3 linked regions of the Bombyx mori genome follow. The protein of the gene in region 3 interacts with the protein of the main gene of each other region in a pairwise test. Links are inferred from orthologs where the notes say so. Each region holds a gene or a part of one and is shown on either strand. Other genes may lie near its edges. The genes, in order: splicing factor ESS-2 homolog, Dhs and Erk.

Region 1 (8,132 bases), on a different chromosome or scaffold from region 3:
TTTTATATTTTTTACTCCGAAATTCTAACTAGAAACCTCATGGGTTATTGTAAGTCACGTGGCCTCGCTAGTGCCAATAGTAACGCGGCAAGCAAGAACGAAGACAGCTGTCGATATGCGCTCTCTCTCACACTACAGCTTGTCTATAGCTGTACAGGCCCGTACTCATCCATTATTTGTTTGATCACCTGGCAGGTAGAAAGCCCTACTGAAATGATCTGTCTTTTTGGGAATCTTATTTTTTAGCTATAAATAACACTCCATTAAAATTTCAAGCTGCCTCAAAAACATTTTTTATAATTTTTTGCAAAAATTTTTTGCACGCTTCTGGTAATGTTACAACCCCGATTAAATTGTCTGGCTTATTTTTTTTCGTATTTATTAAGTATTACACTGCAACATATATAAATTGCGTATTGCCTCAAATATATTTTTGGGGAAAAAAAATTAATATTTTAAAAAATGTAGGGGTTGATTTAGCCCCGCTACTCACCAGCCAGGTCTGCAATTCCGTGTTGGAATATAATAGGAGAGGTGTGTGACAAGTTTTCAGCTTGCCTCAAATACCTACCCAAAAATTGGTACCAGCTCTCGGACTATATAGTCCGTGCTTAAGAATAATAATCAAATGTCTTACTTCATGTGGCCTTTCCGTTTGATCAGCTTGTTGTTCTATGGAGGGTAAAGCTAGTGCTTCATCTGCGAGTGTTGCAGACGTGATCTCGGCTTGAAGCTGCGATGCTATTTTATTTGCACGCTTCTTTTGCTCCAACGATATAACTCGATCGTAGCTTTCGTTGTCCTCGCTCGTGTGTTTGGCCAGAAAGGAATCTGTGAATTTTTTACATATCTATATATTAATACGTAAAGCAAAAACTTTGTATCCCTTTTCACGAAAATTGCGCGGACGGAAGAGTATGAATTTTTCCACACTTATAGAGAGTATAGAGAAGAAGTGCACAATGCTAATATTTTTTTTAAATAATGCATAAAAGATACATTAAATCAATAAAGAAAACATTACACACACTACATACCATGTATTCAGTGCTGCCAGATGGCCGTGTGAATTTCCCCCCAACTTTTTTCTAAAACCCCCCGAAAATAGGCTTTTTGAAGAAAAAAAACCCCCAAAACAGTTTTTACTTATTTTAAAGAAGAAATAAAAAACCAAAAGGATTATTTTATTTTTTAATCAAGCTATCCCTCGATCATATTCACTTTCATTATTATTATTTAATGCTTTAAATAATAATAATGCTCGTTTTCGAAGTTAAAGATATTTAACATGTCCGATGTGGGAACAAAATTTATGCATCTATTTGGCAGTGAAAATCGAATCCTGAGAACCGCTTCGGCAGTTTCTATTGCTATTTGGTTGCATAATTTGTCCTTTATAATATTGACTTGTGAATAGTATATAATTATTCTAATTGTAATTGCAAATTGATACTCAAAAAACCTCCGAAATTTCTCCCAACTAACTTTTTCCCCCCGAATGTCCCCCCAAAGAATCTTTCCCCCCGATTTTCCCCCCCAAGGTCGAAAAACCCCCCGAATTTGCAGGGAATCCCCCCCATCTGGCAACTGTGCATGTATTTGACGCACATACGCATGCATACTATTTATTGTCAAACTTTTGTTCTTGACGTCTGTTGTCAAGTTGAGAATAGATTAAATATTGTTTGTCTTTGTTAATATTTTTTATAGTGAAGTCTTGACGAAATTTGTGATTATAGAAGTATAAAATACAATCATAATAGTGTACAAACTTACAATTCCAATTAATTATGGTCGAATTTCGACTACTGCAGGACCTCTAGTAATAAAAAAAACTTGTTGTGTTCTAAAACATGTGTATACCAAAACTATTATACATACACTAATGTTCTATATATACTAAATATTCCAAAATATAAAAATATATATAAGATCACTTTTTTTTTAAATTATGTTCAGGAAATTTTCTTAATATTATAACTTTGCATTAAAAGTTGACGGTAAAAGTGTGAAAAGCATAACTAGAATTTGAGAAAAGTGTTTTAGTAATCATAGAGCCTACATAGAAGGCAGGCAATTTTAAAATTTATTTTCAAAATCACTTGTTTCCTTTAAATGCATGTTATAAGTAAAAGTCTATAAGTCACTCAAACTGAAATGCTATTTCGGTCAGTAAGCTTACACAAACATACACAGCTTATTAATCATTATTAGTACCGCCATCTAACGTGAAATGGCAAAAATTATTATACAATTAACTAACAGTAGTAAGTAACAGGTGCTATCGGAAATGAATGAAAAATTATAGATATGAATTTAGTTATTAATCAATTTTATTCGAAGCGAAACCACAAACGGATTTCCCGAAGCGAAACGAAGCGAGTGAATTGTGATAATTGAAGTGTACCTTAGGTGTTGTATTAAATAGTTTTAATTAGTAATTCCGTGGGAATTTTTATTTATTCGGCTGTAACATTCAACAGACAAACAACTATTACAAACAAATATTATGAATTCGGGAGCTGTCCTCTCTCCTGCTCCTTTTACCGATATTTAAATTAAAAAATATTTACCTAAGCTGTGGTTATCAGTAATATCTGCGGTTTTGTCTTTAGTGGCATTTTTTGTTTGTCTGGGAGCATCCTCATTGTTGGTAGCAGGAGTGCACGGCCGGTCAATGTTTGGCGTGTCAAAAGTGGCTGGGGTGTTATCTGTAATTTAATTTAAAAAAATTATAGCCATAGGATCAATAACATAATATAACATAGTGCAATTACTGGTGGTAGGACCTCTTGTGAGTCTGCGCAGGTAGGTACAACCTCCCTGCATATTTCTGCTGTGAAACACTGATGCGTTTCAGTTTGAAGGGTGGGGCATTTATAGTTGAGACCTTAAAACTTATATCTCAAGGTGGGTGGCGCTTTTACATTGTAGATGTCAATGGGCTTCAGTAACCACTTAACACCAGGTGGGCTGTGAGCTGGTCCACCGATATCAGCAATAAAAAAAATTGATGATTAATAAGCATGACTTTCCTTTTCTTCTTGCTGCATCTGACATGAGTTTGTACAACCAACCACCTGCTCTATGACACACTTTTTGGTTATATATGCATATTATATGCAGCATATATCTATTGGCACGGTAGCCAGCGGCTTGGCTCTGCCCCTGGCATTGCTGAAGTCCATGGGCAACGGTAATAACTCACCATTAGGTGGGCCGTATGTTCGTCTGCCTACAAGGGCAATAAAAAAAAATAAAAAAATTTGCAATGTACCATAGTTTCTGTTTTTTTTGTGTTTCATTTGTTTTACATTTATTTATGTTTCTACAATTTGCATTTTATTATTTTAAACATTTTTGCTTTTTATTTGTTTTTCTGCAAATTCATAATTTATTAACAGACATATTTATTTACTGATCAATAAATAAATCACAGCATACAATTATACATAATTCAAACTGGTCAATACAAGATTCGGACACACATTTACTAACATCAATCACTAGGTGGGTTTATGTCTACATGGCTCACAGTCTACTCAGAGTTTATTGGTAACAAAAACTCATATATCCAATATATGTGCTGCCACTTTCATACATGTGGGTAGTCTCAATTATATTGCACAAGCTGTCCGATCCTTCAAATTGGAACACATGATTACTGCAGCATAACTAGACAGGATTATTACACCCATCCTTGCGGGCTGACAATATGGCCAGTAAAATCTTTGACTATTTACATAATAATTTCACACCCCTTACTACTTCGAGAACAACTGAAAAGTGAAATATTAGTATACTAACATGGTTCTGTAGGTGGTCTGTTCCCGCTATACTTTTGAGTTAATTCTCGAAGTCTCTGATAGTCTTTGTTTTCTGTAGCCTCCAAGTATTCGTTCTGTGCATTCAGTTTCTCTAGGTCAGGGAAGAAATCTCTTTGAATAATTTTTGCTATGCCCTGAAAATATGGCAACAACACTTTATTGTTTTTTAATGTCTTGTTAATTATATAAATAATTAAATAATGCAACAGAGCCTCTCTCTACGATCTGTGTTTTGTAAAATTCAAGATTTAAAAGAACATCATTAGAAATATAGCACAACTTACCTCCACATAAGCATCTTCCTCTAAAACCTTGCTCTTCTTCTCTGACTTCTGTTTGGGTATTTTTGGTACTTTGAACACAGTAGTCTCAGCTTTCAACAGCTTCATGTTCTGTAATGCTGCCTCTCCAGGCCTCATAGCGCTTCCTCCAGCTGACATTCTTTATAATGTTTGTTGCTTGTTTAATAATGTGCGTTTATAAAAATTATTTAAATAAACTACAGAAGGATATTTTTAGGGCTTTTAATGCCCTAATAGGTTCAATAATCTAGATTTCCTTTTAAGTATTTTTAATTTCTGTGTTGTAGTGTGAACTGTTGTGACACATGTCACACAGTTTTGTTGACAAATGTCAATTTATAAAGTGATTTTATGAACTGGTAGCTAAGACTTTTAAGTCGTGTCTTATTTTAATGTATATTCTTATTTTTATAAATAGTGATAATATGGAGTGAAATGAAACGAAGATGATTAATTTGAGACATTAATCAACTGGGACGAAATAAAATAAAATGAGATGTGATGATATGGGATGAAATATAATCTTAGTAAAATGGTGGTCATTTACTAAGATTTTTTCAGTATACTTTTTGGAGGATCCCGAGAAGTTACGTCCAGCGGCTTTGTTCCATTTGCTCACATTTGTGCACTTTCACAGATATTAAACAGTTAATAAACCACCGTTATTACACATTTAAACCTGAAGAAACACTAAATAGACAAATTAAACAAATCACACAACTTCACTCCTCGCGTTCCGACGGTGCGTACGGTAATCGCACGGTGCGTTCATTAGCGAACTCCTCTCCAAACGCAACATTGATATGCGAGCTGTTTCTGCAGCGTTAGTTCCGGGTCGGAACCCATATTTAAAAATCACTCGAATTTTCGAAGTATCCATCTTTCTTGTTTAAGCTGAATAAAAAAGCAGCAGAATGTTGCACATTTTTCAAAAAAAGAACCTCATAGGTACCATCTGAAAAAAGTTTCACTCAAAAATCTCAAACCATGAAGGCTCTATATCAATTTGAGTACATATTACAATAAAACGGCACTTTAATACTTTAACACCTATTGTCAATTATATATAACTAGCAACCCGCCCTCGCTTCACTTGAGGGACCATCATGTATTATTGATTTTATTGAATTTTCTTTTATACAAATCTGAACCTGAGAAAATGATGTAATATAGGATATTTTATAGCGGACTGTATTATATTGTATATTGATTTTTGTATATTGTGTAATACAACCATTAGTTCTACCACGTCGCTCTCAAAGTACTTTGTCAGCACTGTCATTCCCCTATTCCCTATCTATTGCGTAGTCACTTCTGGCTGCTTCTGGCAATTCATAGAGCTACAAATGTATTTTCACCCTCTCAATTGATACACCATTTCAATTGAAGCCTGCCAACTTTATTTTTATACTTAAATGCCTTAAAATATTGGCACACAACGTTTATAGGTCCAACAGCAACGGTTTGCCGTGAACTGTGAAATTCAGCTTTTTTTACATCCTCTTAAGTATTTTACCAATACAACTTTAACCGAAGCATTTGTTTTAAACGATATTCAGTTTTTTTTACATCCTCTTTGGGGATATTTGCAGAACGCATTCTGTCAATGTTATGTCAAACATAAGGATCCATTAGAAAATTTCATGTGGTGAATAAGGTTTTTTAACTTTCCTAATTTTCTGCGCAATTTTCTTATTTTTTTATTTCTTATGACCAAGGGAAATAGGGATTCATTTTTATATAAATAGATACTTTTTGCGATAACCCAAAACATTTTTTGTTCCCGTTCAGGATTTTACTTGTGTAAAAATAGGTGTGACATAATTATGAAAATAATATAAAGTAATGTTAAAGCCAGATTTCAGATATCCATTGTGGCCCTTCTTTGTTTATTGCGATATTATTTCTAAATTCATGCATAAATAATTATAAAACTTAATTTATTGCCTATAATTTTTCTAAGCTATTATGTGAAATTCTTATGACATTTACATGTGTATGACATTTCCCATTTCGGAACAAAATTATTTGCGATTAATATGCAGAAGATAATTTTATATTTTATTATTTTTGATAAAAGATAATAATATCATGATACTCGGGTCACATTGTTGATATTTCTATCGTCACTTGCTTACGTTACGGCTCGGCGCACGAACGTGTTAATCACCATCACTCATCACATCACCATTAATCATCACTACATAGTATAAAACAAAGTCGCTTTCTCTGTCCCTATATCTCTATGTATGCTTAAATCTTTAAAACTACGCAACGGATTTTGATGCGGTTTTTTTTAATAGATAGAGTAATTGAAGAGGAAGTTTTATATGTATAATAACATCCGTTAAATAGTGGAGAAATTATTAATAAATTACAGTTTGCGAAGCGAAATGAGGGCGGGTCGCTAGTAATAGCTAAAAAGAGGGTAAAAGATTCAAACAAAACAAACATTATAAAAATATAATTTACTTATTTTAGGTTACTTAACTACTTGTTTTTATTTTTCTTTAAAATGTACGCCTTAATGTAAAAATCGGAGAATAAGAATAAAATAAATATATTATGTGGTAGGAATACAAATGACACCCATTTCGGATATTCGCACGAGGGTTCGAATAGAACGTGCCCGAAGTGTAGTATCAGCAATAAGAATTGTAACTGTAACAAGAAAAACGGAAAGAATTAAGGTTATATGTTTAAGGTGAAGTACAAAATCGTATACTTATTTACAAAGAGAAATAGGTTTTTATTTTTATTTTTTATTGCTTAGATGTGTGGACGAGCTCACAGCCCACCTGGTGTTAAGTGGTTACTGGAGCCCATGGACATCTACAACGTAAATGCGCCACACACCTTGAGATATGAGTTCTAAGGTCTCAGTATAGTCACAACGGCTGCCCCACCCTTCAAACCGAAACGCATTACTGCTTCACGGCAGAAATAAGCGGGGCGGTGGTACCTACCCGTGCGGACTCACAAGAGGTCCTACCACCAGTAATTACGCTAATTATAATTTTGCGGGTTTGATTTTTATTACACGATGTTATTCCTTCACCATGGAAGTCAATCGTGAACATTTGTTGAGTACGTATTTCATTAGAAAAATTGGTACCCGCCTGCGGGATTCGAACACCGGTGCATTGCTACATACGAATGCACCGGACGTTTTTTAGGCCACGACGACTTATATTAGGTATTAATAAAAAATTTGCTTTATTCAAACAGTGCATGACCTTTTTTAAAGGAAAAAAACGTTTGAAATTAGGTTTTTTTTAATTTTCTGTGCAATGACACAGCTCTCGTCTAGTGATCTACTTTACCACTATGTAATTTGTCTCCATGCATTTGAACGTTTGTTAACCTATTTTATGCTAAGATTACACTAAGATACAGATTATAGATTTTTTCGTCTGGGAACTAACGTACAGCTGTTTGATGGTAGGTTAAAAGATTATTCTAGGTACGCGCGGACAGGTTGGCGAGCTCACGGACTTGACCTGGAAAAAATTGCTAACACCGGCCCTAGCAAGAGCAGTGCTTTGCAGAATCCACCACTGTTTCAGACATGTTCCGGCGGTGGCGACTTTGCTCTGTCGCCTGGGTTGGATATGTAATTAGCGGCGGCCACGTTATGAGGATTTTCGTGCAACGCCGCTTTGTCGAAGTACCGTTCTGACGCTACCAAGACGAAGCTTAAAGTGAAAGCCAGATTTCATCTATTCTTTGAATTACATTACTAATCAACTCCACCGAAATCTGATTTTCGTTTGTCAACCTACCTAAGTATTCATTACTGGTGGTAGGACCTCTTGTGAGTCTGCGCGGGTGGGTATCACTACCCTTCCTATTTCTGCCGTGAAGCAGTAATGCGTTTCGGTTTGAAGGGTGGGGCAGCCGTTGTAACTATACTTGAGTCCTTAGAACTTATATCTCAAGGTGGGTGGCGCATTTACGTCGTAAATGTCTATGGGCTCCAGTAACCACTTAACACCAGGTGGGC
Region 2 (7,661 bases), on a different chromosome or scaffold from region 3:
TTTGTGTTTTTAAACAATAATATAATCATTAAACATATTCTGAACATTTTCACATCAAAACAGTGTCTGCTAATTATTAAATATGGTAGAATAACAGTTTTTGTTAATAAATATTAACATATAATAAACTAAACTATATATTATTATGTTAATTATTGCCAACAGTGGCGTTTGCGCCCATATACACTATACCCTATTCCAATTACGAAGTCCCTTTCGACACTTTTTAGAACATAACTCTTCGTTACGCATAATCTATATATTAAATAAAAATGAATTGCTGTTCGTTAGTCTCGCTAAAACTCGAGAACGGCTGTACCGATTTGGCTAATTTTGGTCTTGAATTATTTGTGGAAGTCCAGATAAGGTTTAAAAGGTAGATAAATATGAAAATTCTCGGAATTAAATAAAAATACTTAACAATTTTGTTTTTCCTTTGCTGTCTCTCGTCGAACGAATTCCTTTTGTTTGTCTTATGTTTATTTTATACAAAAGTTTAGGTCTTTTATTTATCGATTGAGGCAATACGTGTGGAAGATTTCATACTCCTCCGTCCGCGCAATTTTCGTAAAAAAGGATACAAAGTTTCTGCTTCACGTATTAATATATAGATAATAAAATCTGTCAAACGGGACTTCGTAATTGGAATAGATTAAAGTGGGCTGGTTTCTGAAATAAAAGGTTTTAATGAATTAGAAAAAAAAACAATATTTATTTTAGATTAAAGTGTAATGGTCAGTGATTGCAAAAAATGTATGTACCTAATACGTGTAATGTTGTTTGTTGGTCAATATTTGGTCATTGGTTCCAATATATTGGCGCAAACTGTCATTTGCATCATTTCACGTTGTTTACATAAAGTGTTATTCATTTATTTGTCGTTCGTCGAATGCATTGTGCTTTGAAGGCCGTGTTATAAAATTGTCGTAATGAAATTCCTTTGTTTTTTTACGAAACAGAAAACACAATTACGGCAAATATGTTTACAAATACATTTAGATGTAACTACATACGTAAAAAAGCATATTTATATCGAGTTATGAAAGGTTTTTCGATTAATACGCAACATTTATCTTTGTAGTTAAAAGTTCGTTTTTGACTGGTGGTGGTAGGACGTCTTGTGAGTCCGCACGGGTAGATACTACCGCCCTGCCTATTGCTGCCGTGAAGCAGTAATGCGTTTCGGTTCGAAGGGTGGGACAGCCGTTGTACTTGCGACCTTAGAACTTATATCTCAAGGTGGGTGTCGTATTTACGTTGTAGATGTCTATAGGCTCTAGTATCCACTTAGCACCAGGTAGGCTGTGAACTCGACGGTCCATCTAAGCGATAAAAAAAAGGGTAATCAGTAGTCCCTCGATCTTTCTCTATGTGATGTTCAGACTGCTGTTTTTTTTATTGCTTAGATGGGTGGACGAGCACATAGCCCACCTGATGTTAAGTGGTTACTGGAGCCCATAGACATCCACATCGTAAATGCGCCACCCACCTTGAGATATAAGTTCTAAGGTCTCAAGTATAGTTACAACGGCTGCCTCACCCTCCAAACCGAAACACATTACTGCTTCACGGCAGAAATAGGCAGGGTGGTGGTACCTGCCCGCGTGGACTCACAAGAGGTCCTACCATTAGTTATATAGGATTGTCAGTCTCTGGTACCTATACCACATGGAATCCTAAATTGGGGCCGGACAACCGTGCGTAATTAGCTCGCAATTATTTAATTTATTAAAACAAATCTTATTTGTAAAAGGTGATCAAAATCTAACAAAATTATCCGCATACATTCGTTTCGTATCATTTGCGGTTACATGATCGGACACAGTGTAAATTGTTCGCAGATACTCAGGTTTAAAACTTCAAGGTTTTTAAAGAGCTTTTTTTCACTTATTATAGATTTTAAAAGCACTACCTAGTGAACTTGATTGGTGACGCGACTTGCAGATTCAGCGTGGATGAACTGACACTGCATTATGACGTACTTAATGGATGCGCTTGGCAAATACGTCAATGGACATCTCAGGCAATGGATTTTAGATAAAGATATGAGGTTATTATATTTGCTTTTGTTTATTGATAAAATAGGTAAACGAGTTCCCGGTCCTCTAGGTCTTAAATGGTCACCGGAGCATATAAACATCAAGCACGTCAATGCCACCGCCCATCTTGAGACTACTATCTATACAAATACTACAAATCTATACTAATATACAAATCTACCGTTAGTTATAACGGAACATCCACCACCTGAACCATGCATCCGATTGACTGTAGAAAATACATGTACTTAATGGATAGGCTAATATTTATATGAGTGTTAAACTCCCTAATAATAATGACAATAAATAATAATGTTAAGTTTAAATGCCCAGCGAAGCGGGCGAGTACAGCTAGTAATATAATAAAAACATAAGAAAAACTAAGTCCGTGAACGTTGAAATACGAATGACCCTTTGAACATTAGCTACACTGTGTCAAATCCCGTTTGCTTAACACATACGTAACACCTGCGCATGCGTAGAAAGTCGAATACAAGCACATCTTACCACAAATATGCCGGCCTTCTCCTACATCATTATTATTGTATGTACTTGACGGATAATAATTTAATTTTCATAAAACTTGTTTCTCAATCAGCAACGGACTACAAAAAAAAAAAATACTATTTACATTGTAGTTTTAAAAAAAATCGTTAATTAAGTAAAAGGTCGACTTGAAAAAAAATATCGTTTTATTCCTTGTTATCTTGCACAGTTTATAACAACAACTTATTAAAATTATTGTACTGTAATCGAATCTCGATACGTGTACAAATTTTTAAATCAATTTGACATTTTAAAATTGTGGAAATTAACGTTAAAAGATATACAAATTAGATAGGTAGAGAGATTGATACAAGTTTATAAAAGCGTAGTAAAAAAATAGTACCAATTGAGGATAAGCTCTTGAAGTGAGTAATTATAAAACAAGAGAGTTTCTTTAATTTATAGTACTGACATTTTAGTTACATATTGAAATTTTATTTCACTAAATATATCTAATGATTCCACAGTAGATCTATCGATTAGAGCGCAAACCGCCAATTATGTGGCTGGTTATTATTTGTGTGTATAAATATATGTCAGCGCAGCGGGGCTGGCTAAGCGGTAGTTTCCGTCATCACTCGTATTTGGTTGAACTCAGTTTATAAAAAGTCAAAACAACGTCTTAATATTACTAAAAGTCGTTAACCACGACATATATATATATATAGGTTATCGCTTATTTCAAACTGGAATTGAATAGAATCAGTGTTTTGGAATGGTTTCCTATTGTCCTTTTTACATTTTGATTTTTAACTATTTGTACTATAACTCCGTGTCAGTTAGCCGTTGTGTTCTTTAAGCTCATGTCTCATTTAGATAATTACCTAAGCATACAGTTCTGTAGATAATTCGTGTGTCAATACGACTTTTGAGAAACTATGTGTAGTGATCTAGTGCCTTTTTATTTATAAAATTTAAACCGGTGACAACTGACAGCTCTCAGTCAGTAATGTCAAATGACATTATTGACCAATGACAATTCAAATCAAACTAAATTTATTTATTAGATTAAAATATTTTCGATTGGGACGTTGATTTATATTAAGGGTATTATGGGTAATTGATCTGGAAAATAACAAAAACAGCTATGGAAATCCCGTGCAACGTCGAAAAACCTGTTAAAGTAGCCCCAAATATTGCCGTAAATGCGGTTCTGCAACCGAGCCAAGATTTACCTGCAGAAACACCGATAGTCGCGGGCTACGACTGGGAAAATGGAACCGATTACAATAAAATACTCGAATCTTACGCTAACTCCGGATTTCAGGCCACGAATTTCGGTAAAACTGTCGTCGAAATCAATAATATGCTCAAAAGCCGAGCGGTTCCGTTAACCGAAGAAAACAGCGATTGTTATGAAGAAGACCAGTTTATTAAGAAGAAAACTAACTGTACTATATTCCTCGGGTATACTTCTAACATGATATCCTCGGGACTGAGAGACACGATCCGTTTTTTAGTTAAAAATAAGCTTGTGGATGTGATTGTGACTACAGCTGGAGGGATCGAGGAAGACTTGATAAAATGCATCGCTCCGACCTATGTAGGTGATTTTAATTTAAGCGGGAAAGTGTTAAGAACACGAGGTATAAACAGGATAGGCAATTTGTTGGTGCCAAATGATAATTATTGTTTGTTTGAGGAGTGGGTCACTCCATTGTTGGACGAGATGATCTCTGAACAGATGAAAGAGGGTACTGTTTGGAGTCCGTCGCGCATCACAGCCCGGTTAGGGGAGAGGATTAACAATGAGAGCTCAGTGTGCTATTGGGCTTGGAGGAACAACATACCTATATTTAGTCCCGCATTGACTGATGGATCCTTAGGCGACATGATGTACTTCCACTCGTTTAAGCGTCCCGGACTGATCATAGACATATTGGGAGACCTGCGCAGATTGAACACCATGGCCGTCAAAGCCAACAACACTGGAGTCATAATATTAGGTGGGGGTTTGATCAAACATCATATTTGTAACGCAAATCTGATGCGTAATGGTGCTGATTACGCTGTGTACGTGAACACGGCCAGTGAATTTGACGGCAGTGATGCAGGTGCCAGGCCCGACGAAGCAGTCTCGTGGGGCAAAATCAGACCTAATGCGAATCCAGTGAAGCTATATGCAGATGCTACGTTAGTGTTCCCCTTGATCGTAGCTCAAACATTTGCTAAACATCATTTTAGCAGTAAGAAAAATGTTTAAACTGCATTTTTTATTTATTTTGTACATTAAAAACTAAATGATACCAAGATAAGTTTTATTTATTTATTTTTAAAATTTATTTTTTATGGACGAGCTCACAGCCCACCTGGTGTTAAGTGGTTACTGGAGCCCATAGACATCTACAACGTAAATGCGCCACCCACCTTGAGATATAAGTTCTAAGATCTCAGTATAGTTACAACGGCTGCCCCACCCTTCAAACCGAAACGCATTACTGCTCACGGCAGAAATGGCAGGGTGGTGGTACCTAACCGCGCGGACTCACAAGAGGTCCTACCACCAGTATATTCCGACTTTATATAAGTAAACTCAATTTTGTATGTACTAAAATAATGAATGCTGGCAAAGTTTATCCTAAAATGTTACAAGTCCTTCAAAATAAAACTTGGACACCTCATAAAATTATAAATACATTTATTGCAATATAGTGCCATCTAGTATCGGTCGATAATACAAGATAATTCTGTAAAGCGCCATCTATTATTAAACTTCGATAATATAATTGTGGTTTTGATTTTTGTATGATTTTATCTTGATTTTCACCATTTATTATGTTTTATAATATTGATTAATATACGAAATATGTGTAATTAGTTATATAATAAAGTTAGATGTATTGTTTGTTTAACCCATATTTCAGGACGAGTTAGGTGTGAATGAACTGTCAAATACCCAATGAAGTTAGCCCATGTCTGGTTTCCATAAAATTAAACATGTGTGCGTCTGTGAATTAAAGTCTCATAGATGTGTGCTGTACATAGAAAGCACAGCTTTTGAACCCCAACTTTTAGCTCATCTTTGGACGCGATACAGTGCGGTTGGTTGCGTCAAATCGTCCGCGTGCTTCCATAAATTCTTGTTATGATTCTTCCATTCGTCTTCTAATAATTAAAAAAAAATGAACAAAAGTCAAACATAACATTCTTAATTCAAATATTTAAATTATTTTGTGCCAGTTCGCTAAAATGGCTGTGATACGTTTCGTTTTATTCACGCTCATTTTAATCGGTAAGTCCTTTCGTCCTTTGTAGACTATTTATAGGTTCAGCCTGGCAGCCACAGATATTTAATGGGAATTTGTTAGGATACGTATAATTTGTTGCACGTTTTAACTGGAAACCGCTTTGATGTGACAGCGTGTGTGATGTTTTGTTTTTAATGTTATTGTTAGGGCCGGATGTTTGTTCTTACAGCCTATGTAGTCCTATTCACCGTCGAACATGTTTTATTATGATTTATTGTACGGCGATCGTGAATGTGATTAATTATAGTGAATACGATAATGATTCACAGAGATGTTTCTCTCTAAATATTTTACTAATATCCGAGACCTTTAATTCTTATATTTAGTATTCAACATATAGAAGCCGAAACCATGAATTAAATAAATAAATTAAAAAAAAAATTAAGTTTTTTTTTAAATTTTGCAATTTTAAGACAGCTTACAATATATTATCTTAATTATGCCATAATTGAAAAGTATGTTTAAAACAAAAAGCAGCAGAAAGAAATGAGTACCTATTATTGGCAAACTTTTTAGGTTCAATGGAATAAAATATAAATTCATGTTCAATAATTTATAATTAATCATTTTAATGCATACATGGTATACTAGAATTTGTTTTTCTGTTTTTCTAAGAATTATGATTTTGGTTGAATGTTCAAATGAGTACATTGAAAGAAATGTATAAAAATAAAAATACTAACTCAGCCAAATAATTGTAATGTCAGTCAATTCATTTTTCAAATGTAAGTAAACATTTTCTTGAGTATCTTGCTCCAATGTTTTAAACTATACTATACTTTTACTTACTTAATATATTATATTTATACTACTCTATACTATAGTTATACTATACTATACTTAGCTATAGTATAACCGTCCAATAAAATAGCTTGAAGAGGGGCCTGTTTGATGCTTTGTGACATAAGAATATAATGCTCTAAATAGGGCAGTACATGAGTGACATGAATATTCCTATGTACATCTCTAAAAACGCACTATCCACAGCAGTTGCAGTATGTATAGGCCGTATTCTTCCTACAAAGATTATAAGAAGAAGCTGAGACACATGTGCGCACAGTTAGGAAGCTCATCATGGAGGGGATGGCAAAGTTATTAAATTTTTAACTTTGTTCTATAAATAATGTAGGTACTAAAATTATTAAAATGACATCATGTGCTTTGTCCCTTTGTATAAAATATACTTGGGAGTGTCAGTGGACATTGCAGAGTCTAAATAGATCCCCAACCCTTCAGACAATAACTCCTATATCAATTTTCATTCACATTATATTAGCAGCTTGATACTCTAAATCTTAACCACGCTAACGCACTTACTCCAATCAAATGAATCTTTAAATGAATTCCGCGAGTCACATTCACGTGCAACATGAAACTTCTATGACCTAACTTGTAACATGTAAGTTGACTCGCAGTGATGCTATTGTGACGGTTTAAGGATAACAAGAACTGAATAAATTGATTATCTGTGTGACCCAAGGAAGAAACACGTAAAGGAATAACATTATTTCCTATCTTTGACTTGAAGCAAGAAAGATTTTGATTCCGTTTTCGCAACTCGACCGAGGTGGCATTATCATGTGACTTGAGACCAAACGTGCCGCATATATAAAAGACGAACGGCCATTCCCCGTAGCTCATTATTAAAGGATAACTTTCCTATTTTGGAACTTTTTTTTAACTTACTTCAAAGGCACACGAAGCTTGCGGTCATGCGTGAATTTCGCGATATAAAATACATGAAGTCAGTGTCGGAACGGTACTTCGATAAGGGGTCATGATAATCGTCTTATCGTTGCCGCCGCTGACTACTCCCCGCTGATCACGC
Region 3 (8,032 bases):
ACTAGAAACAAATCTCGCACGGTCAAGTTGCTTTCAGCCTACGCCATAATATAATAGCATATATTAAATAGCTCATAGCACAACAATATCGCACACCATACATTGTTAAGGACATGTTATGTACTATATATTATTGGCTTAGTATACGGCTTACTATAGTATACTATACTACTTACTATTATTATATATTATACTTACTATACTATACTTACTATACGCTATACTATATGGCACTAGATCTAATTATTTAATCGTTTCATAATAATATATAACTTAATACAGGCGATAAACAGTCAAACAGTATTAAAACTGTTCAGAAATAAAGAAGATATACGGGGTGTAATACCAAGCTGTGCAGACAAAACATTAAATTAAATAATAACGTCATTTTCCAAATCCGCCTAAAGAATTCTATAGCCAATACACGTTTTTTCGGAAATGGACAGTGAATCCGCATTCAATCACACGTCAACCGAAAACGTCCTGAATATCGCAATCGTGAATTTGCTGATTTCAATTATTCATCCAAAACAGTTCTTTACATACGACAAACAGACGTAAGCACCAAATGACGTCAATCATGGGCTTAAATTGCAATACGTATTGTCTTTGCTTTGCTTCGATCTATATAAAAACTGCTTCTGTCATTATCATATGGTTGTAAGCTTAACATATGCGGTGGTACCAACTATGTTATAGAGTTACATTCCAAGGTCTTTGTAAAAATTACCCTTTTTTTTTTCTTAGTGTCACACAACTCTAATTTGTATTAAAACATTTTTAAAGGCAGGTTTTTTGATATTGGAAGCAGCAATAAATCTATTTTTTGCTAAAAACTATCAATCTATAAAATGGAAATTTCACATAGAGTGCTTTTAATTTGAGAACACACATATACAAGTGTGTATGTATTTTATTTTATGGAATCAAGCTAGGCCGACTCTATCTAGTAGTTGGTACAAGGGACAAAAAACTATTATATAAAAATAATTTTGGCTTACATTATATATATATTTATTTCCTTATATTTGTAATTCAAAATGTGATTCGATATGGCAGGTTCAGACGCTTAATTCATTTTTCACTGAATATAAAATCGTAGTCTAACTTTGGAGTGCTCACAGTGTACATTAATAAAAGACAGGATTGATAAATCATTCGCATCGATGGTACGTCAGAAAGTTCCGCTATCCTGGATTTTGACTGTCTTGCCAATGTTTTAGCATGTCAGTCGAATTTCAGAAGTAAGGTATCATTATAAACAACAGGCTTATTAAACAATGGTTCCATTTGCCTTCTATTACTATAATAGCTAATAAGCTCAGCACTAAAAAGGTTAAAGTCAGGTCCAGCCAAAAACGATTACGTGACTCCAACGACCAATTCAATTGCGTTTAAATAATCCAAATTTTTATTTTTTATTTTTTATTGCTTAAATGGTTGGACGAGCTCACAGCCCACCGGGTGTTAAGTGGTTACTGGAGCCCATAGACATCTACAACGTAAATGCGCCACTCACCTTGAGATATAAGTTCTAAGGTCTCAGTACAGTTACAACGGCTGCCCCGCCCTTCAAACCGAAATGCATTACTGCTTCACGGCAGAAATGGGGAGGGTGGTGGTACCCACCCACGTGGACTCACAAGAGGTCCTGCCACCAGTAATCCAAATATGCACTAATAGCTACTTAATGTGCACTTAGTATCGATCGTACTAACCTATGTCTAAATACATCGGACGAGTTATTATATTACGAGTAACCTCAATCAAAACAGTAAAAAAAAATATAGCAGTACAGTTCTACTGAGAGTACTATAGACGTTTTACGGTAGATGATTCTAGAAATAAAAAATTCATAGCTTCTTCAGTGTCTTACCAACCGTTAATCCTGAGCAATGTATTACGGCAACGTCGAAACTCCTCGAGATCTCGGCTTTTCGAGTGAAGGGGCTCGTTACAAGTGCTTTTCACGTTTTGGTTCGAGCGGATATACAATTTCTTTGCATATTTTGTTTTTTTAAAACTCGGGTATACTTTAGTGGAAGCTCAGTTATTTTTTCGTTGCTGTTACAATAATAAGTTGTTCTGTTTTTCTTTTGCGAAAACAATAAACAAAAGAATTAAATTCTGATCTAAGTACTCCTATTTTGAATATTCTTAACTTATCTTTTTTTTGTAACTTTTTTTTTATTGCTTAGATGGGTGGACGATCTCACAGCCCACCTGGTGTTAAGTGGTTACTGGACCATAGACATCTACAACGTAAATGCGCCACACACCTTGAGATATAAGTTCTAAGGTCTCAGTACAGTTACAACGGCTGCCCCGCCCTTCAATCCGAAACGCATTACTGCTTCACGGCTGAAATAGGCAGGGTGGTGGTACCCTCCCGCGCGGACTCACAAGAGTCACAAGAGGTCCTACCACACGTAAAAGTACTTCTGATCTACTCCTGTTTTAAATATTTTTAACTTATCGTTTTTCTTTTTGTAACTTAGGATTGCTTTGTTAATTTTTTATTATTGTATTGAACAGATTTGCGACTTCGGTCTGGCGCGAGTTGCGGATCCTGATCACGACCACACCGGTTTCCTCACGGAATACGTAGCCACGCGCTGGTACCGTGCTCCTGAAATCATGCTCAACTCAAAGGTATATAGTCTATAATATTATTATATCGAGAGGTGAAAGGCTATTTGGTTTAAGGGACATTTTTGCAACTTTAAAAGATAGGCATTTAAAATTAAAAATTTGGGAAAAAAATATAACAAAAAACTTCTTCAGCTATTTGATTTAAGGTAAACTTAATTAAAGTTCATTTAAAAACATCGAATTGTTGATGTAATTCCAAATAAAATGAATCTTTAATTACAAAGATAAATGATGTCGCATATTAAGCCAAATGTCGTTCAAACCAAATAGTTTTTTACCACACAATATAGTTCGGCTTGTTGTATCATGATGAAAACTGATAAATAATAATTTTCGAATGAAATGCTGAACGTACTTCGTTTTCTTCTAGTCAAAAATCGCGTTACAAGCTTATAAGAAAGACAAAACGTATGAAAATATCCGTGAATTCGTTTGAAATCCACTTGAACAAATAATTGAGATTACTAGAATGATTTTGAACAGCAAACATTGATAATACACTCACTAAATATGTTATTCGATAACACCGTAATACGTTACTATGTATGTGATATTTATTAAACGCGACGCGTAATGCGCCTGTATCGATGACGAATTGTATTTTTGAATGTTTGTTAAATGAATCATTGTTTTACTTATTAAGGCTAAGCGTAGACAACAATAGATGCTATGGCCCAAATTATTTAAATTTTCTCGCTTATCTATACTATTATCTTGTTACGACGATTTTTAGTTGGAATTCCCTATGTTCAGTGCTGTCGCGAGCGCGGTGGTCAAAGGTAGGCAAAAGATTGCGGGGTACGCGATTATCCGTGTTAAAACAAAAAAAAAACATGCTAATAATATTATAAATAGTATCGATAATCTATTGAAATAATGTTATCTAAACAAATACAAAACGAACACCAAGAACGAAGAATGTCCGATGGTTTCGTCTAAGTAATCTAGACTTTTTATGATTATTCTTAAGTTGGCCGACGCAGTTTTAGCAACGAACATACCACTCCATATACATAAAAAGTAAAAGCAAATAAAGCTCGCATCATAAAACTCAATGCCTCAAGAGACAAAACTGAGAGAATTTACGTTCCGCATAAAAGTCAACCTAAGCTGGAGTAATTTCTGTCCTGGCCCCCAAACTTGGCAAGAATTACACGTATCGTACGCAGAGGTATCTTTACATCGAGGCCCCGAACCTATTTGTTTACAGAAGAATTCGCATTCACATTTCACCTCCGCAATATACTTCACAGTTAAATGTTGAACGTGCCTGTGCGATAAAACACTTGAGGAAAGTAATACGATTTAAATGAAATTCTAAAGGACTTCTTAACTCACCAAATAAGTAGACTTCATTTGCTCTAATTGATTATTAACTTTATATGTTTCTAAAAATATAATAAACACATTCTTAACATGTGAAATATATCCTGAAACTTCCCTTACATATTGGCTTTACGTATTTCATTAGAACATTTTTGGATTCAATACATTCCTGCTATTCTCCTCGTTTAGGATATTTTGGCGTTATTCGCTGCCTCAATGTCAGTGAAGGCCTATAATATATGGAGACAAGAATCTTATCCGTCTGGCGTAATCGAGATCAAGTTTTGAGATGAAACGACAAAACAAAGCCCTAGTCTCTACATAAATTATATAATTTATTATGTTATTATCTGCGGCTTTATTTTGCCTTCTGAATAAACTATGGATGTTTTCAATTCTCCCTCAGAATTTATTACGTATTTAAATTTAATTAAAACAAAATGTCTTTTTCTCTCTCGCGCGATATACCGGGTAGACCTTAATAAAATTTCGTTTTTAAATCTATAGGAGACCGTACAAGCTCACGTATTCATAAATCCACAATTATTAGGTTGGTATTGTAGTCATAAATCTAGTCCCGAACGTTGACACATTTTAGGTACATCTGCTTGGGCGAGTAATGAAATTTTCTGATATAAAACGATTTTTGTTTTAACACAGGGCTATACCAAATCAATAGATATTTGGTCAGTGGGATGTATTTTGGCGGAGATGCTGTCCAACAGACCTATATTCCCGGGCAAGCACTATTTGGATCAATTGAATCACATTTTGGGAGTGCTCGGTTCGCCGAGTCAGGAGGATCTTGATTGCATCATTAACGAAAAGGTAAGCCAGTTGTAATATACCGATGAATTGTGAATGTTTAATATCCGAAGGGCCGAGATTAGTGGAAATTTTGAATTTCCTTTTAAAGTACTTTTGAAACTAATAAAAACTGTTGCATCATATTCAACTCAGTGTTTTACATAATGTTTAACAATTAATTATGTCTAATATTAAAATTTGTTAATATGAATTTTATCTGACTTGAATTTTTTGAATGATATAGTTTAGTATTTAGTATAATTCGACGTCGTCCAACGGTCATTACGAATCCTCTCGATCCATTAACAGTGCTTTTAGGTAAAACAAGCACCGGTCACCGTCCTCGTCGAACCCGTCGCTTGCGACGAAGGGCTCGACGAGCGAATTAACCCATAGACGCAGCCCACTGAATTTCTCGCCGGATCTTCTCAGTGGGTCGCGTTTCCGATCCGGTGGTAGATTCTGCGAAGCATTGCTCTTGCTAGGGTCAGTGTTAGCATCACTCGGGCTTGAGCCCCGTGAGCTCACCTACTAGTTAAGGTTACGCTGAAATAGCCTCCCAAGGCTATCATCAGCTTAGGTAAGAAAAAGAAAAATAGTATTATTTTAATTTAGAGACTATATTATTTATGAAGAATTTGCTCATTGTAATTACAAAGGTTGAACCATCTGTTTTTTTATTCCTTTGTCATTCTAAAAACTACACAGCCCGAGGCTACTACCATTACAGACATCCACTTTATTACATACAAAGGAAAATCCATTTTGATATCTGAGATCGCATCATATCATCTGTTCAACTATCCTGAAAATGATAGTCTACTGTTAATTATATATAGACTTATCGACAGTTACTATTAAAAAACTCGTTCGACGTATAGACAATTGAATCTACACCTCTCATTATACTCTGTAGGCTTTATTGCATCCTTTTGTCTGTATGTTTAGTGATTTCGTTTCTTATAAAGAGTGAATTCATTTCATACCACGTGGTAACTAATATAATAAGAGTGTGGGTGGGATAGTGTGAGTTTAAAAGTCTTTAATTCTTTTTTTCGGTATTTATTGAAAGAAATTTCGAATTTTCTGGTTATTCTGTTTAATTATTTTATTCAGGATAAAATATATTATAAATGGATTCTTTCGTGAAGTGGCGACTTGAATCGCACGTAATGATGTAAACTCTTCGTTTTTGTGCTCTTTTTCTAAGAGCCTAAGGGTTTTCTTGAGTTGACTTGGTTGAATAAGATACGTATTTAGACCGCGAATCAAATGAGTCCTTTAAAGGAGGGTCATTAAGAGTCTATGTCCCATTAAACTCTCAATACTGTTGAGCTGCATCTTAGTTTACCTTAATATGTGAGTGACACTTTGTCTGCCTATTCGATATTGTTTCGAGGTTTAGTTAATGCTTTGTACACGGTACTACTACGGGAAGTTTTGAAATCTAGTTGTTTTGCTATAATATGTAATCTTTTTATCTATCGGCTTATTCAGAACGTTGTAGGTAACATATTTATGCAATCGCAATGGGCTTTTGATACTGTTATATTAATTTTTTGATGTTGACTAGCAACATACATATTTTTTAATTAAACGTAATCATACGTTAACAACAAAATAAAATTGTTGCTAAAAGTAATGTGACGATGATGTTGAAAGAAATTTTCTGTAAATAGTCTTCGATTCAACATATTTGTTACAATACTTACAAATTAAGTGCTTTACAAAATTACTAAGGTTCTAACAATAACAGCTTTATAATATTATATTCAATTTTATTACTCTCGGGATTGCTCGATGTAAAATCAGCACAACAAAGACGTAAACGGAATGTTTTTAATTTTCCTTTTAAATCGACTTCGTCTATTATACGCAGCGTCGCGAGTGGAAAAGTTTTCATACCGCTTTTGTATAATTTTGGGCCTGAAATTTGCCGCATTAATTAACCTCATCAAAAATTCAATTATAATTGAATATGGCAATTCCGAAAAGGGCACATGTCGCATATTTTGTCAAATACGTTTTTTCATATACATGTAGTTTTGAGGCTTACTTACACCCATTTTATAATAATTCCAGTAATTTTCAATTACTAATTAACACTAAGATATATCTCAAAAGTTAATATTTTAAATTTTACACTGCTTTGAAAATAATCAGATATTTTTTTTCATTTCCTGAACATTTTACATTTTCAGAGATGTGCCCTTTTCGAAATTGCATATTCAATTATAAAAGACTAGCGACCCGCCCTCGCTAAGCTTCGGAAACTATAATTTATTATTGATTTCTCCACTATTTAATGGATGTTATTATACATATAAACCTTCCTCTTCAATCACTATCTATTAAAAAAAACTGCATCAAAATCCGTTGCGTAGTTTTAAAGATTTAAGCATACATAGAGACAGACAGATATAGGGACAGAGAAAGCGACTTTGTTTTATACTATGTATTGATTTACGAATGTTTGCGTTTGCTCCTAATGTTTAGCCCAAAATGTTGTTTGCTGTTCAATCAGGCTCGTGGTTACTTGGAGTCGTTGCCGTTCAAGCCTCGCGTGCCGTGGGTGGACCTCTTCCCCGGAGCGGACCCTCGCGCCTTGGACCTGCTCCATCGCATGCTGACTTTCAACCCTCACAAACGCATCACGGTCGAGGAAGCCCTAGCCCATCCGTACCTCGAGCAGTACTACGACCCGAATGATGAGGTATGTAATAAACGTTGTTTTCATAGACGCTTGTTTTGAATTGGATTCTACTATTATTGCTTATGGATTTGACATTGACCAATTCAAAACATCGAAGAAGTGCGTTTGGCCTTATGACCGAAAGTAATAAGATTTGACAACAATAAGACAAGACATGTCTTCGGCCTTACGATCAAGAACAATGAAGACGTGGCTTCGGCCTTTAAAACTACCAAAATTTTCCAATTATTACCAAAAACAAGACCTGGCTGTATGGACTAAAGTCCTTGGCCTTTCCCATTAGGGATAAATTAATATCATCATCATTGTTTTGAATTGTACGTTGCATTTTGAGTTGCACATGCATGCAGTGACTATGGTGTGTATGGTCGCAGACGCGGTGATTTTATCCCTTAGTACCAAAATATTTGCGAAGCAATCATGCTGAATTCATGCATGAATTGGAACACGATTATCCCATACTAGTAAATACTTATGCAATTAATTACAATCTTAAGTGAAATTCGTTTATTTATTGTATTATTATAATTCGAT

What was found.
Region 1: the proteins of Erk (region 3) and splicing factor ESS-2 homolog interact in a two-hybrid assay, tested with the Caenorhabditis elegans proteins (3 studies listed by BioGRID). The link is inferred for Bombyx mori from reciprocal best matches to the Caenorhabditis elegans genes mpk-1 and ess-2.
Region 2: the proteins of Erk (region 3) and Dhs interact in a two-hybrid assay, tested with the Caenorhabditis elegans proteins (2 studies listed by BioGRID). The link is inferred for Bombyx mori from reciprocal best matches to the Caenorhabditis elegans genes mpk-1 and dhps-1.

What each region holds. Positions count from the first base shown.
Region 1 is NC_085122.1:9,653,139-9,661,270, forward strand, and holds the start of splicing factor ESS-2 homolog, read right to left. Parts: upstream 4,882-8,132; 5' UTR 4,268-4,881; coding exon 4,112-4,267; intron 3,962-4,111; coding exon 3,808-3,961; intron 2,712-3,807; coding exon 2,574-2,711; intron 832-2,573; coding exon 638-831; intron 1-637. Other genes in the region: elongation of very long chain fatty acids protein AAEL008004, read right to left, coding at 6,620-6,790. UniProt on the Caenorhabditis elegans protein: Regulates pre-mRNA splicing.
Region 2 is NC_085130.1:7,167,715-7,175,375, forward strand, and holds Dhs (deoxyhypusine synthase), read left to right. Parts: upstream 1-3,549; 5' UTR 3,550-3,672; coding exon 3,673-4,788; 3' UTR 4,789-4,837; downstream 4,838-7,661. Other genes in the region: tyrosine-protein kinase-like otk, read left to right, coding at 5,775-5,817. UniProt on the Caenorhabditis elegans protein: Catalyzes the NAD-dependent oxidative cleavage of spermidine and the subsequent transfer of the butylamine moiety of spermidine to the epsilon-amino group of a critical lysine residue of the eIF-5A precursor protein to form the intermediate deoxyhypusine residue.
Region 3 is NC_085116.1:4,096,949-4,104,980, forward strand, and holds part of Erk (extracellular regulated MAP kinase), read left to right. Parts: intron 1-2,535; coding exon 2,536-2,652; intron 2,653-4,638; coding exon 4,639-4,806; intron 4,807-7,309; coding exon 7,310-7,498; intron 7,499-8,032. UniProt on the Caenorhabditis elegans protein: Functions in let-60 Ras signaling pathway; acts downstream of lin-45 raf kinase, but before the lin-1 gene product in controlling vulval cell differentiation. Plays a negative role in proximal germline proliferation in the mitotic zone.